Linked DNA regions of Canis lupus familiaris. The protein of the gene in region 3 binds, or shares a complex with, the protein of the main gene of each other region. Links are inferred from orthologs where the notes say so. Each region holds a gene or a part of one and is shown on either strand. Other genes may lie near its edges.

Region 1 (4,840 bases), on a different chromosome or scaffold from region 3:
CTCCTGGAAAGAAAACGATTGTAAAATGTGCAGTGAATCAGCGACAAGTGGTGATCGCCCTGACAGGAGGAGAGCTGGTCTATTTTGAGATGGATCCTGTATGTTATTTTATCATTCATTGTGGGACTTAGTGTTCGGGTTTAGAGGTAAACATGAGAGTTGTAGTTTGGTATTTAGATGATATTCACAAAAAGAATTGAGGAGGGAAAGTATACGTAAGGCAGTCCAGCTATTTGGGGGTGGGTATGGGATGGGAAGGGTAAGTTCATGTTGTAATTCTAACTGGAGTTACGAAATCCCATCTTAGTAGTGAAGTACTTGTTTTTTTTGCCCTTCACACTCTACTTTTCCACCAAATATTGGCCATGGGTTTTATTCAGTTTTTGTAATCTGAAGCCATTTCAGAAATTTGCTTTTGCTTTTCTGTATGGAAGGATGCTGGATATATTTAATTATCAGTCTCGGGAAGTTTCTGGCTGTGGCTAACCTGATAGTCTAACTGTACCTCTGATTGAGATTTCTTTGTCTTTTAAGTTCCATATTTGAATTCTCTTTCACCAAAAAGTATTCTCATGAACAGATAAGCAGTTTTCTGTATTTCTATTTGCTTTAGGAAATTTGTAGCAAGCATATTGTATTTGTCAAAGACAAAGATACTGTGTTGTCCCTTGAGTGTCTTGTCAGTAATTTTGCTTGCTGTTAGCCTGTAGAGTTCAGTCTTGGGATCTTAAGTAGAGAAATGCTTGGTCATTGATTATAATAAGAGGAGTGAGAGGAAGCACAAAGGAATTTAACAGTACCTCTTCCTTTCCTAGGCCCAGGGTTTAGGGGCGAGTTGGAGTGGTTTGTCACCTCTCTCTGTTTCATTTATGTAGTCAGGACAGCTGAATGAGTACACAGAGCGGAAGGAGATGTCAGCAGACGTGGTGTGCATGAGTCTGGCCAATGTGCCTCCTGGAGAACAACGGTCTCGCTTCCTGGCTGTGGGGCTGGTGGACAATACTGTCAGAATCATCTCTCTGGACCCCTCAGTGAGTGTTACCCTGGACTTCAAGGATCTTCTCACTGGAATCTGAGCTGCTGGCCCATTCCTGATGGGCATTTCTGGGATCAGCTAGGTTAGCCCCTGAAATCAGCATCTGCCACTTGTGATTATCATAGCAGCACACCTCAGGAGTCTTCTGCAGTACTTTAAAGATCCTAATCCCAGACTACTAAGTGCTTCCTTACCTTAAGCCTTGACTCCCTTTTATAGTTAAACAAAACCCAAAGACTTTGCAGAAAAGGAATCAGACTGGCTTTGGACCTTAGATAAGAATAAGTGCCCTTTGCTTATTTACATTTACCGTTATCCACTTTTATGGAAAGGAAAGCATGGTTCTTTCTAGAGCTTATTCTAACATTTGGTTTAACTAGTAGTAACCCATTTAGAACTCACTCTGTAAGATTCCCCTATCCACAAGAAAGTTGTTTCTTCACTCCTCAAATTAGATTTTTCCAAAATTGGTTATTTCCCATGTTTTATTCTTTTCTCTTTCCTCCTTAGGACTGTTTGCAGCCCCTGAGCATGCAGGCTCTCCCAGCCCAGCCTGAGTCCTTGTGTATTGTGGAAATGGGTGGAACTGAGAAGCAAGATGAACTGGGTGAGAGGGGCTCTATTGGCTTCCTATACCTGAATATTGGGTTGCAGGTAAGAGATCCAAGGCTCACATTGTTGTTTTTTTGTTGTTTTGTTTTTTATTTTTATTTAAAATTTTTTTTTTTACTTCTTCATTCATGAGAGATACACAGAGAGAGGCAGAGACATAGGCTGAGGGAGAAGCAGGCTCCTTCCTGGGAGCCCAATGGGAGACTCGATCTCAGGACGCTGGGATCACACCCTGAACTGAAGGCAGATGAGCATTGTTGATGTCAGGTCGTCTTTAGCTTTTATGCAGTCCTTGTTCAATATGGGCATTTGCTGAGCCTGTTCAGTTTACCACCTTATGAAAACTGAATGGTGCTGCTGTGTGTTCCTTTTCTCTTAGTACTAATCAGAAAGGTCAGGCCTAGGAAAAGATACTTTCATAAAGAAAGAGTCTTTGATATAAATGTGATCACTGCTTTGGGTCAGAACTAGAGGGAGTCTGAAGTGTCATCTGCAGTTTTCACAATATGCAGCTTTTGGAAACTAATACCTTTTGTTTTATAACGGACTCCTTTAGTAATAAAGGACCCCTAGATGTTTACTGTTGTCAAAGCATTGGGGCTTTTCAGAGCATGAAAAGCAGCAACCTAAGGATAGCAGAGTGTCAGTGTTTTTGACGATACACTTTTCGTTTTCCTTAATGATTATTTGTTCAGCTCCCTGGGTAAATAATCTAGCCCTGCTATGTCTTGCTATTTCTCAATTACTTCCTAATTGAGAAATTTCTCAAACATGCACAGGAGTTAGACTAATGTAACATGTACCCATCACTTGTTTTATTTTTTTATTGTATTTTTATTTTTTTAAGGATTTTATTTCTTTATTTATGAGAGACCCACAGAGAAAGCAGAGACACAGGCAGAGGGAGAAGCAGGCTCCCTGCAGGGAGCCCGATTTGGGACTCGATCCTGGGTCTCCAGAATCAGGCACCGGGCTGAAGGCGGCGCCAAACCGCCGAGCCACGCAGGCTGCCCTCCATCACTCGTTTTAATAGTTAACCAACATTCTACTGTTCTTGTTTTATCTATTCTTTGTTTTTTCTTTCTTCTGGGATATGTTAAAGCAAATCCAAGGTGATTTATCATTTCATCGATAAATCTTGAGAATGTAGCTCTACCAGATTTATGGGTTTTCTTTTTAGGCTTCAATTTTATTATCATGCCTAATACAACTTAACAGTTCTTTAATATCTGATACCTGTTTGTGTTCTGGTTTTTCTTGTTTCGTTTTTGTTTTTCCAGAAATGTTTTTGACTTTAGTTCTACCTAGGATCTGCATAAAGCTATCTGTAGTTTGCATCTGTGTGATCTATCCCTTTATGTTTCTTTTAATAAATTCTACTCCATTAAGTTTTTTTTTTTTTAAAGAAACTAGATCATTTTTTTTTTTAATTTTTATTTATTTTATGATAGTCACAGAGAGAGAGAGAGAGAGAGAGAGGCAGAGACACAGGCAGAGGAAGAAGCAGGCTCCATGCACCAGGAGCCCGACGTGGGTTTCGATCCCGGGTCTCCAGGATCACACCCTGGGCCAAAGGCAGGCGCTAAACCGCTGCACCACCCAGGGATCCCCAGAAACTAGATCATTTTCTTGAATTTCTACCTGCTGGCTTTGGCAGAGTCCTTCCTTGTGTGTTTGATGTTTATCTATCCTCTATTTCTTGTAAACTATTGGGTGAGTCTAGACCATGCTATTCATTAAAAATATAATGCAAGTCACATGTGTAATTTAAATACTCAAGTAGCCACAAAAAGGGAACAGATGAGGTTAATCTTAATGTTTTCTTTAACCCAGTATATTTTAAATGTCATTTCAATTTGTAATCACTATAAAAATTAACATAACTCATGTTCTCTCTTTTTGAACAAAGTCTTATTTTTAAAATATTTTTTATTTATTCATGAGAGAGAGAGGCAGAGACAGAGACAGGCAGAGGGAGAAGCAGGCTCCACGCAGGGAGCCCGATGTGGGACTCGATCCCGGGCCCCCAGGATCACACCCTGGGCTGAAGGTGGCGTTAAACCTCTGAGCCATCCAGGCTGCCCCAGATTTATTATTTTTGGGGGGGCCCAATAAGTGGCACTCTTTACTTTCTATTATATCAGGAGGCATGTAATGTCTGGCTATCCTACTTGTAATGGTGTTAAGATGTTTGTATGTATTTTAAATTATTTGCTCCCTGTCAACCTTTTACCTAGCAGCAGCTGTCGATGCCCATTGCCTAGATTCATTATGTCATTAGGGATTGGGAAATGACGATTTTCTGTTTCTTTCTTTCTTTTTTTTTTTTTTTTTAAAGCTTTTATTTATGAGCGCGAGAGAGAGAGAGAGAGAGAGAGAGAGAGAGAGAGAGAGGCAGAGACACAGGCAGAGGGAGACGCAGGCTCCATCCAGGGAGCCTGACGCGGGACTTGATCCCCGGTCTTCAGGATCAGGCCTTGGGCTGAAAGCAGCGCTAAACCACTGAGCCACCCGGGCTGCCCCGATTTTCTGTTTCATCTTCATTTCTTTAGCTGGAACTTGTCTCTGAAGACAAAATTTGCTTACCCCAAAGTATAGTTCGTATAGGGAAAGGATAAATACTTTGTTTTTCCCCTTGTTCATCTTATTTTCACAGTAAAGAGTTGGTGCCGTAGCAATCTCCAATGGGGGCTCAAGAAATCTATTTCTCTCTCTCTCTCTCTCTCTCTTTCTCTCTCTCTCTTTGATAACATAAAATTGCAGATTTTTATATATTTATGCTTTAAACTATTATGGTCTTTTCTCATTTTTGGATGCTAAATTGCCATCATTTTAGATGGGTGGGAGTTGGAGTTCCCTTTTGAAGTTAGCTTTTTTGTCCTTTTAACATGATGCCATTATCTTTGGGTGCTTCCCTCCTTATGGTACGGTAGAGTGCCCCTGTATATATCTGGAATATTCTTGCCCTAGAACTGAATTAGCTGTTTCTCTTAAGAGAGGGACACCTGGGTGGCTCAGTGGTTGAGGGTCTGTCTGTCTTTGGCTCAGGGCGTGATCCCGGAGTCCCGAGATCGAGTTCCACATTAGGCTTCCTACATGGAGCCTGCTTCTCCCTGTGCCTGTGTCTCTGCCTCTCTCTTTCTCTGTCTTTCATAAATAAATAAAATCTTAAAAAAAAAAAAAAAAGCCTTC
Region 2 (5,371 bases), on a different chromosome or scaffold from region 3:
CTAAAAATCAAAATGAAAAAAAAAAAACACATACGAGGAGAGTTAAGAGTCATATTATGAAATCTTGACAATGTAGCAGTTTCTTGAAACTTCCAGGACTTTTTTTTTTACCCTTAGAACAAGAGAAACTAACCCAAATCACTGTCTAGATTTCAAAGTACTTGAATCTTTTGACACATAATTAGTTTCAGAGACTCGTCTGAAAAAGGATGACTAGTGGGACACCTGGGTGGCTCAGCAGTTGAGCACCTGCCTTTGGCTCAGGATGTAATCCTGGGGTCCCAGGATCGAGTCCCACACTGGGCTCCCTACATGGAGCGTGCTTCTCCCTCTGCCTATGTCTCTGAACTCCTCTCTCTGTCTCTCATGAATAAATAAATAAAATCTTTAAAAAAATGAAAAAGGATGGCTAGTTATGTTAGATATTTATGATTCTGATACTACCTTAAAAAAACTCATCCTTGCACTGACTTTGGGCCTGCATGCATAAATTGCTTCTGACTTCAATCTACTGTGTTGGATATGGCCAAGCTGAGGCAATACTGCCTTGAGTTCAATTTAATTAAACTCAAAAAATATCAGAAAATTACCTTAAAAAACAGAATTTCTGATGATCCCCTAATAACAGCTCTATTTTACAAAGGAAGAAACTGAGGTACAGAATTGAAATAGCCTCCCCAATGCCCACAAGTCAGTGTGCAAGCCAATGGATAAATCTAAATAATAATAATAAAAAAACCCTTCATCTTATGATTCCTTCAAGACTATTATAATTCTTCAAATAGTAATCATATATACACATGCTAACATTTAACATTTTTATGTTCATATTTTGCAAGCTAAATCCACTTGCCTGGTTCAGCCTTTCTCTTTTCTCCCCTCTTTTTGGGATCATTGGGTTCAGGGGTTTTTCTTTGTGGCGGTTCTTCTGCAGTCCTAGCACTGACTTCTTGCACATTTGCAGTAGAGCTAGATGCCCCCTCATTAGAAAAGCCATAATTGGCCTGATATGTAGCAATGAAATCTTCAGTGATCTAAACAAAAAATTCAGCACACACACATATAGAAATTTGAAAATGACTTCTTCCCATAAAAAGTGTACATTGTGATAAATTTCTGCATATTTGGTTATACAACTGAACACAGAAATGTTTCTACAGATAATGGCTGTAGTAAATAAAGTGTAAATGCAAGAATAGTCATGTTATACAGAAAATGTGCATAAAATGACAAAAAAAAATAAGATGGGTATTTGGATTATCAACACAAAACTCTTAAGGAAATTATTGGCACTGTAAGTGGTGTTGGCGCATTTTCTAGTTGATTCATTTATAAATCACTACCTCTCTACAGTCTACTTGAGTAAGGCTACAAGTACATACAATAAAGGAAGTACCAGATAACAATATAACAAAAACCAACAGTCAATAACCTAACAACAGAATCAATTTTTCTTTTGCTACAGAGATACACAAAAGTATACACGCATTAAATATTTGAGTGTCTGTATGTAGAGAACACACAAGATAAAACTGATTTAGTATATAGAGAATAGAACTAACGATTGTAAAACTAAATGCTTATTTTCACTCTCTCACTAATTAAATGACACAATCTTTTAGTGTCAGAACAAACTAAGAACAAATTCAACTCACATCCATCTATCCTCCTGGCTTTTAGGGGAAAAAAAGCCCAGTTGCACAATGAAAGAAATAGGAGTCTGCCTTCATTCTGGTCAATGTTACGCACATACAGGAGTGGGGAATTTTTAAAACTCAAAGTTTCAAGAGGTATGGGTTTCAATAACATAAAAAGATAAGAGTCACAAATGAATCCATTATCAGACTATTGTTAAAAGTCCTCAGGAAACCAAATCTGCTCTGGAGCTGGGATGACCAGAACCAGCAAAATAATAAATGTAACAATGTAAAGGGAATGAAGTATACAAAAACAAAAAGGAAAATAAAAAAATTGAAACAAATAATTTTAAGAATAACAGTCAAACTACACAATGGAGACATGGCTTATATTACCAGCTTGCAAGTTGATTGCTACTGGTATATTTTCCCACCCACATGAGACTTTGATTAACAGGGTACTTTTGCTGAAAAGTTTGCAGAACCAAGTTAACACCGGTTACATTACTTACAACCTGGAATAAAATACTTAACAATTTCCAAGCACTCTACACAAATATACACAGATATCTTCTATCCATATTCCGTGCCTGTGGTTGTATGGTTCGAACACACATGCCTAGGGACAAAATCTGATAGGAAAGAGAGGTGCAGATCAAGTTCAATCTATAAAGGGATATAAATGGCTATTTTTTTTTCAAAACCAAGAAGCTGCATTTTGCACAAAGTACACAAGCTAAGCAAACATCAGAATTCCTAGGGTATATGAGGTTGGCTATCCAAGAGACCCACAGCTACTAAATTTGCTCTCGGTGTTTTTCCTCTTTGCAATAAAAAGCAGTAACCAATGCAATAACCAACCATGACCTTCACAGACAAAATTAATAAGGCATAGAAGAGATTTAAGAATTAAATTACATTCGAGACATCTCGGTAAAGATCTACGTTTCTCTAACATCGGTTCGGCAACAGAAACAACAAAAAGAAACGTCACTATCCATGGGGCCCTAACTCAAGACCTCAGCAAAGAAAAACGGAAAAGGGGCGCCCCGCGAGGCTGGCCAGGCGGGCCCGCTCTGCAGTGCCGCCCGTGCCACCGTCGTACCTTGGGGAACCAAGCCTTCTTGTCCAGGTCCCACTCGTACGGGGTGTCAGCCGGCTGCTGCCCGAAAGAATCGGGTTCTCCACTGGGATCTTTCTGGGTGTCGCCGTCCTTGGCGTCGCCGTACAATTCTTGCATTCGCAACTGCTCATCAAACTCGTCGTTCCCATCCAAGTTGTTGCCGCTCATGTTGCCGACTTAGGCAAGGGACAGGGTCCGCGCGAGCAAAGAGGCCGAGATGCAGCCGGAGGCTATAGAGAAAGGGAGGTCAGTCGCACTGGGCCCGCGTCCCGCCGCCCCCCGGCACGCCTCCCCGCGGCGCCCCAGCAGCCCCCGGGAGGTCGGGGCCGACCGGCGCCCGCGCCGCCCCCTGCTCCGCCCGCTCTCCCACCGCGCGCGCGCGCGCGCGCCGCAGGCTGCAGCCCCTGCCGCGCCGCCGCCCACCTGGCTCGCTCCACCGGGCCTCGGCGCCGCGGCTCGACCCAGGGCGTGGCGGGAGCGCGCACGCGCGCCGCCGCCGCCCCCGCCGCCGACCGGGTCGGAGTCGCCTGCAGCCTCTGCAACCCCCGCGGCTCCCGCGGCTCCCGCGGCCCCCGTGGCCCTCGCGGCAACGTCAAGAGGTTGCCGGAAAACTGAGGCCCGCTCAGGCTGACGCAGTCGCCATTGTTGGCACGTCGAGACGTCGCGGGTCGCGCCGACACGCCTCCAGTGGCGTCAATAAGCGCCGACGCGGGCGGGCAGTGCTGGACCCTAGGGGCGGGGCGTCTTGCGGGGAGCGCTGCTAATCGCCCGCCGCTGCCCACCCGGGCCTCCTGGGCGGGGCGGGGCGGGGCGGGGTGGGGGCGCGGGGGCCGCTGCGCTTAGGGACCTCGGGCTCGGTGGAGGCCGCGGTGGGCGGCAGCCGGAGGCGTGGGAATGTTCCCACTCGGCGCGCGCCATCTTGGGGGAGTGGATGGGGCGGGCGGGACGGATTTGTGTTCCTGAGAAAAAGACAGGCCTCCTTCCCCCGTTCCGCTTGGGAAACGCGACTTTGGCTTATTTCTTTATGATTTCCCTAGGATGGGCGCCGGCTCTTGTTCAGCTTCTTGGCCTAAGCTCCCAGCCCAGGGTGTGGTGTCTAGTGCGTATTGAATGAGCGAGTGAGCAAATGAATGAATGAATGAATGAACGAACGAACGGGGTGGGGACCAACCTTCTTTTCCCAGCCTGAGGCCCCTCCTTTATCTCTGGTACTTTCTCAGGCTGAAGATCGACTCTGGAAAGGCGGAGGGGGACAGGGGGGAGCAGTAGTTTTCTGCCTCTTGTACGCCACGATTCAGAGGTGCTCAAGCTCCAAACCTGAAACTTAAAACATCCAAGTATAAGCACCAGCTTTACTGGCCCAGCAACTTCGGGTTTTTTGTCTTTCTTTTAGAAAAGTACAGAATATTTTCCCTCTACACAGCTTTTTATCAAATTACATATTTATCGTAGAAAATAAAAAGGTCTGTATTTTTTTTTAATCGGGCAGATATTTATTGAGCAACCAAATGCCAGGGACTGTGCTAGGCTCTGGCGAGCCAGCAGCCAACAACACAGGCACAGCTCAAGGGAGACGTACTTGTTTATGTAGATGATTCTATCAACATTTGTTGTAGTAAAAACAACAGTTTAAAAGGGTTTTTAAAAATCCCTTTAAAAATAACAATGATAAACTTCTTATGTACAAACGTAAAATTTTATAAACCAGACGTGAGGGTAAAAAGCTTACCAGAAGAAATTAGTTCTGCTATCCCAGTGATCTTTTACTTCTAAATATAGCAGTTGCGTATGGGCTCTAGAAAATCTTAACTCCCCAAATACCGACTGTGAGAATATGGTTTCAACCCTTAAAGCGATTTTTAAATAGTAGCTTGGGTTTGAGTTGGTTTTTTTTTTTTTTAAGTACATTTCTTTTTCATGAAGTTCTTGTTCTGTTCCAGACTACAGGAGAACTGAACTTGCATGCTTTTTTATATATATAATATAGATAACATGAGTTTTATTAGGCTCACTTATTTAAGCATTGCTAAGTATTTCTTCCTGGATCCCAAAATAGTGTACAGCTGTTTTCAGCAATGTGTTATTGGGCTCCCATTTCATTCCTGAGTGAGTTCACAGCATAGGTGATAATATGTTACACAGCCCTACTACTGCTCGTGACCCTCTGAATGCCTGCTGTATCCACAGGCCCCTCTGAACAGGTGGCCAAAAAAATTCCTTATGCGTAGGTCCCATGTGACCCAGCCACTGTGGCCCACAGGCTGCCCAGAGGCCTGTGAGGTGACCTGATAGGGTAGCCCTGCATCCTAGACTGAATTTGGCTATATGAGCCAATAAACTGCCTTGTCTAGAGACTGGAATGAGTATGGAATGGGCAGGGACATGGTCAGAGTAGCACAGAGGCAGGGAGGCCCACATAGGCAACCTAATAAGCAGAACAGAGGCCTGCTGTGAAGAAGTTCCCCAGAGGTGAGAAGAGAAGCTGAGGAAGGGACAGAGGGTCACTGAGTCACCATAATAATGGAGCAGTGGAGTTGGGAGCTAAGCACATTTGTGCCTACAGTGGCATTCTGTTTGGCCATGAGACCTGACTATTGTTTTTGCTTTAACA
Region 3 (5,529 bases):
GCCGCTGAGCCACCCAGGTGTCCCTAGTATCTCCATGTTTAAGTCATTAGTGGTTTCCTATTTCTCTGAGACTGAAACCCACACTTGTTACCTTTAGCCTACTGACAAGCAAGGTAGAATGGTTCTGATATGTGCTCTCCATTATGTCAGGCATCAGCCCCGTGCCTCTTTTGCCCTGGGCATGGATTGTACTGCTGCTACAGATGGGCAGGAAGGCACAGAAGAAGAACAGAAGCTCTTCAGTTTCTTTTTTTAAAATCAAATTTATTGAGATGAAATTTACATACAGTAAAATGTGCCAATTTTAAGTTTACAATTCAATGAGTTTTGACAAATGTGTACATTCATGCATCAGCTGCCACAATTACAACCTAGAACTTTTCGGGGATGCCTCAGGGCTCAGTGGTTGAGTTTCTGTCTTTAGCTTAGGTTGTGATTCCAGGGTCCTGAATGAAGTCCTGAATCAGGCTCCCTTCATGGAGCCTGCTTCTCCCTCTGCCTATGTCGCTGCCTCTCTCTCTCTATCTCTCATAAGTAAATAAGTAAATAAATATTTTAAAAAAGCAGTCTACAACTCTTCTTCCTTAAGTATAAAAAAGTAAAATCGTAGAGGCATGTAAACTATGACAGCCTCTCTCTTAACTGCATTACAGCTTTGCATCAAAGCAGCACTTAACATTTCTGTATGTTCTGCTAGGTGAGTCATTCTCAATCTTAAGTGTACTTCAGAATCACCTAAGAAGCTTAAACATCCCAGTGCATAGGAGGCACTCCAGACCGAGTATATCAGAATATTGGTATGGAACACATGCATACATGTGTGTGTGTGTATATATATATATATATATAATTTTTTAAGATGTTATTTTTAGGTAATCTCCATACCTGGCCTGAGGCTTGAACTCGTCTCTCTGAGATCAAGAGTCACATGCTCTATAGACAGCCACCCAGATGCCCCATCATGTATTTTTTTTTAAAGCTTCCAAGCTCAGGGAATGTTGAGAATCACTATAATTTTAGGAATATATTCTTAGCTCTTCTTCCTCTTCTCCACCAACTTAACTCCTACTCAATCTTCACATCTCACCTTAAAGGTCACATCCTCAGGGAACTCTTTCTAAACCTCTCCCTTATGCTGTAATCTCTCTCTCTCTCTCTCTCTTTTTGTATTACATTTGCTTGTGTTTTTATGTCTATATCCCCCACTAACTTGTACTCCCTGGATGTAGGACGGACGTAACCCACACACACAACAATACATACCAATGGGACGCCTGGGTGGCTCAGCTGTTTGGCGCCTGCCTTAGGCCCAGGGTATGTTCCTGGGGTCTTGGGATCGAGTCCCACGTTGAGCTCCCCGCATGGAGCCTGCTTCTCCTTCTGCTTGTGTCTCTGCCCGCCCCCCCCCCCCCGTTTCTCTCATAAATAAATAAATAAATAAAACGTTTAAAACAAAAACAATACATATCAATGAATGTAATATAAATGAATGAAAGTGAATGGAGATGTTGGTAGCATCACTCAGCGCAGATTAAGGGGGACAGTATTATAGGTCGGGAATGCATACGGCGCCTCGGTAGCCCTTGGAGGAAAGATCTTCCCAGGGCCTGCAAAGCCAAGGCATCTTCCTCCACCGCACCAAAGCGCACAGACAGACCTTCTAGGCACTGCAGGGAAAACCCAGCCAAGGTCGCGCGCCTCTCGGCGCGGCCGGCGCAGTGCGGCCTCCAGCCCAGAGGGGGCGCTGTGGAGAGCCAGCAGCTTCCGGCCCGCTTGTCCCGTCTCTCTGCCGCGGCGCCCGCACGTCCTGTTTTCGTTGGCCGCTCTCGGATGGCCGCTGCAGCTGTATTTGCTGCTCCCTCTTAGTGCCTGCTACTCGCCGGGCTGGCCGAGGGCGGCGGGGCCTCCTTCTTTGTTCGGTTCTTCCGTGCATCGTCCCGAGGGGAGCCGCTGTCGGCGCGGGCGGCACCATGGGCCGGGAGTCGCGGTGAGACGGCGCGCCTAGCGGCCGAGCGGCGGGCGGCGTCCCCGGGGTGGGGGAAGAGGCGGGAGTTGAGGTGGCGGCGGGACCAGGCCTGAGCCGGTGCAGCCCCACGTGCGGCCAGCGCGGCCCGCGGCCCGCGGAGCGGCAGGGGGGCCTCGGCCGAGAGAGTGGCTGTCCTTGGGCCGGTGACGGTCACTGGGTTCCCAGCACTGCCATGGCCCGTTGCAGCGCCTGGAGCGGAGCCGCCCCTCCCGGGGGTCAGTGATGGGCACCACGTCCCGCCATTTCCGCGGGGCCCACCGTAATCCCGCAGTCACTAGTGATCCCCGTTGAAGTTCTTAGCAGTTCGCGTTTGCCACGTTTTCTGGGCGCCTGTTGCTATTTTAGTTCTTTGTGCGTGTCTCGTATTTTCTCAAGTCAGTCGAAAGGAGCCGAAGACTACGTATTTTTACATCACCTACAACATTGAACATGACTAGCCTTTTAGCAGGTTACAATACATGCTTGTGGCATGGAGATTATGTCGCAGATATATATCATATTTCTTTATTAGGTGTTTTCTATCCTATTAAAATTGTGGATTGGGGGGGAGGTCTTACTAGAATTATGGTATCTCTTCAAAACTTTAGATTGTTACGTGGTTTGGGACCTTGAGGCTTTTATCTTAGAGATGAATGTTTGCTGTGTATTTAGCAGTGAGTGAAAGGTCCTTTTTATCTGAGATATAAGTAATGAGTAAAGTAATAGTAGTTTATTGAAGTACAGTGAACGTTCAGGGAAATGGACAAAGCTTAAGGATAGAGAGCTGGATGAAAATTTAACAAATCCATAATCTGTGTAACCATCACCTGGATAAAGAGAATTTCTTTGTTTACAGAGAATCCCTGTGAAGATCTTCTAAAATTTCCTTGAAGGCTATTTATCTGGCTATGCAGACCAGGAACCTGGAAGTGATTATTTATTTGATTCATTTTTCTCTCTTAACTGTCTAAACCCAGTAAGATTCTACACTCTGTTTTCATTCTTGCTCTCCCTAACCTAATTCCAGCCCTGATCATTTAGTACTCAGAATGCTACACTTGCCTCAAATTATCTTCCTGTGATCTTGCTCTTCTAAAAATTCCTCACACTGCCGCCAGAGTGATACTTCTAGAATAAAGATTATGCCATTCCTCTCTTTTCATCTGCATTGATTCTCATTGCCTCCAGGATGAAGTCAGACTCTTCAGCACAGCCTTCAGGGCCCATCTCAAGGAAGCCTCTTATAGCCCCCCCCCCCCCCCTTGTGCTCTAGGTTAATTCAAGAAGTTATGAAAGGCTCAGAGGTGGGATGGAGCAAGGTGTTTGAGAAATAAGAGCCTAGTTTGCCTACATATATAGGTGTCATGAAGAAAAGTGGTAGGAGATAGGTTCTGGAAGGGAATTGGGTCCAGAATGTGAGTGGATTGTAGATTTAGTTTTGAAGGTTAGAATTTGAGAGTCTTTGAAGGTTTTGAGTAAGAAATGTGTACCTATGTTAATATAATGTGGTCAGAACTCTGTTTTACAAAGATTACTGTAGCAGCAACGAGTAAAACATTTCAGGGAAAAGGGCTTAGAAGTAAGAAGACAGAGATCTTCTAAAATGTCCTAACTAGAAAGCTCTGATGTGGAATAGTGAGTGAGAACTCTGAGGAGGTGATAATAGTGTGCAGAGAATTTACAGAAGTGAAATTAGTGATACTTCATGTTCTATTAGTTGTGTAGAATGAGAAAAATACTGAAAGTAACTGGTATTTTGAGCCTACTGACTACAAGTTGGGATGATAAATGGCTTGGGGAGGCAAAGGTAGTAAGTTTGGGTTTTACACATTGAATTTCAGGTGCTTGAGGGATGATGTGGTGCGCTTATTCCCTAGCCATCTTATCCATGTTTATTGCTTTAAGTAACCTTTGTATACTGATGATTCCCTTCAACTCTAGACTCGTGTTGCAACTACCTACTTACATATCCATGGGAATGCCTAATATCCTGATTCCCACCCACCCCCCAACATGTGTTCCTTCAGGCTTCCCATCTTAATAAATAGCAATTTTATCTTTCTGCCCAGTCCAGCCACGTAGCTCAGAAACACCCATGAATTCTCCCTTGCTGTCACGCTTGGCATTGAATTAATCCTTAAATCAGGCAGTTCTAGTTTGAAAATCTCTAGATTTTGACACGTCCTAGAAACTCTCCACCTAACATTCTCATCCAATGCACCACTTTCTTACTTGGATGATTGTGTTAGCATTCTGCCTGTTTTCCCTGCTTCTGCCCTTGGCTTCAATTTGCTCTCCCCTCAGCAGCCAGACCAGTGCTTTAAAAATATTAGTGAGGTAACATTACTTCTGCACTTAGAATCTTCCAGTAACTTCTCAACTTACAGAGAGTGAAAGAAAAAATCCTTAGAATCGCCTCTAAGGCTCTACAGGGCCTTCCATGTTTGGCTGCCCTACTGTATCTCTCACCTCATCACATGGCACTCTCTCTTGGTTGTTGAGCCTTAGCCACATCTGCCTTCCTTGCTGTTTCTTGAGCACACCAGTCAAGCTTCCTCCTCAGGGACTTTGCATTTGCAGTACCTTTTGCCTGAAAAGTTTCTCCCCCCTGTATCTTCAAGGTTCCTTTTATTTTCTTCAAACCTCTGAAATATCTGTTGATTGGCAAGTTTTTCTCTTACCACCTGGTATAAAATAGCAAACCTGTGCCCCGTCGTCTCTCTCTTCATTTACTCTGATGTGTTTTTCTCCATAGCACCACATGATGTATTGTGTATTTATTGCTTTAGTTGTCTCTCATCTCTTCATTTACCAGAATGCAAGTTGCTTAGGGCCCCAAGGCAGGAGTTTGGTCTATTCTAAAATTTTTGCTGTCCTTGCTTCCTTTTCAGTATAGTTTTTTCCTGTCTACACAGACTGTAGATAGCTACAGGCATCATTCCTTTCCCCAGATTTTAAGAGTTGATGAATAAAAAGTCATTTCAGTGTTTGTCTGTTAAGATCTTTCGGGGAAAATCTGAGTAATTAAATATAGAAGCTACCTGTGTTTGCTAAACCTAATCTTGAACTTAACATTCTAGCCACTATCGAAAGCGATCAGCATCAAGGGGGCGCTCTGGAAGTCGTTCTAGAAGTCGCTCACCCTCAGACAAAAGAAGTAAACGTGGAGATGACAGACGGTCTAGAAGCAGAGATAGAGATAGAAGGAGAGAGAGGTCTCGTAGCAGAGATAAAAGAAGATCTCGGTCAAGAGACCGGAAGCGCCTGAGGTAAGACTAGTTTCCTAAAAATGATAAAGTGGGCCTTCTCAGGTAAATCAGGCTTCTTCAAAAGTGGAATTTAGTGGCCCCTTTGTGGGCATTCTCCTTAAACCCAGTTCATTTGATGAGGTCCAGAGGTGATTTGCCTGAAGCAAAGACTATTAAACGGTGTTTTAAGTTTGGAAACGTTAGGCTATATTTCTTGTAATCCAGAGAGAATCCCCAGAGTCCCCTGAGAAAGGTGGTTTTATTTTATTTTATTAT

The links.
Region 1: DDX46 (region 3) and SF3B3 share a complex: the UniProt entries of both Homo sapiens proteins name them as parts of the 17S U2 SnRNP complex. The link is inferred for Canis lupus familiaris from reciprocal best matches to the Homo sapiens genes DDX46 and SF3B3.
Region 2: DDX46 (region 3) and HTATSF1 share a complex: the UniProt entries of both Homo sapiens proteins name them as parts of the 17S U2 SnRNP complex. The link is inferred for Canis lupus familiaris from reciprocal best matches to the Homo sapiens genes DDX46 and HTATSF1.

The regions. Positions count from the first base shown.
Region 1 is NC_049226.1:77,098,126-77,102,965, forward strand, and holds part of SF3B3 (splicing factor 3B subunit 3), read left to right. Parts: coding exon 1-98; intron 99-875; coding exon 876-1,031; intron 1,032-1,546; coding exon 1,547-1,690; intron 1,691-4,840. UniProt on the Homo sapiens protein: Component of the 17S U2 SnRNP complex of the spliceosome, a large ribonucleoprotein complex that removes introns from transcribed pre-mRNAs.
Region 2 is NC_049260.1:107,799,381-107,804,751, reverse strand, and holds the start of HTATSF1 (HIV Tat-specific factor 1), read right to left. Parts: upstream 3,453-5,371; 5' UTR 3,184-3,452; intron 2,991-3,183; 5' UTR 2,929-2,990; coding exon 2,743-2,928; intron 1,035-2,742; coding exon 854-1,034; intron 1-853. UniProt on the Homo sapiens protein: Component of the 17S U2 SnRNP complex of the spliceosome, a large ribonucleoprotein complex that removes introns from transcribed pre-mRNAs.
Region 3 is NC_049232.1:22,846,728-22,852,256, forward strand, and holds the start of DDX46 (probable ATP-dependent RNA helicase DDX46), read left to right. Parts: upstream 1-1,795; 5' UTR 1,796-1,970; coding exon 1,971-1,987; intron 1,988-5,085; coding exon 5,086-5,274; intron 5,275-5,529. UniProt on the Homo sapiens protein: Component of the 17S U2 SnRNP complex of the spliceosome, a large ribonucleoprotein complex that removes introns from transcribed pre-mRNAs.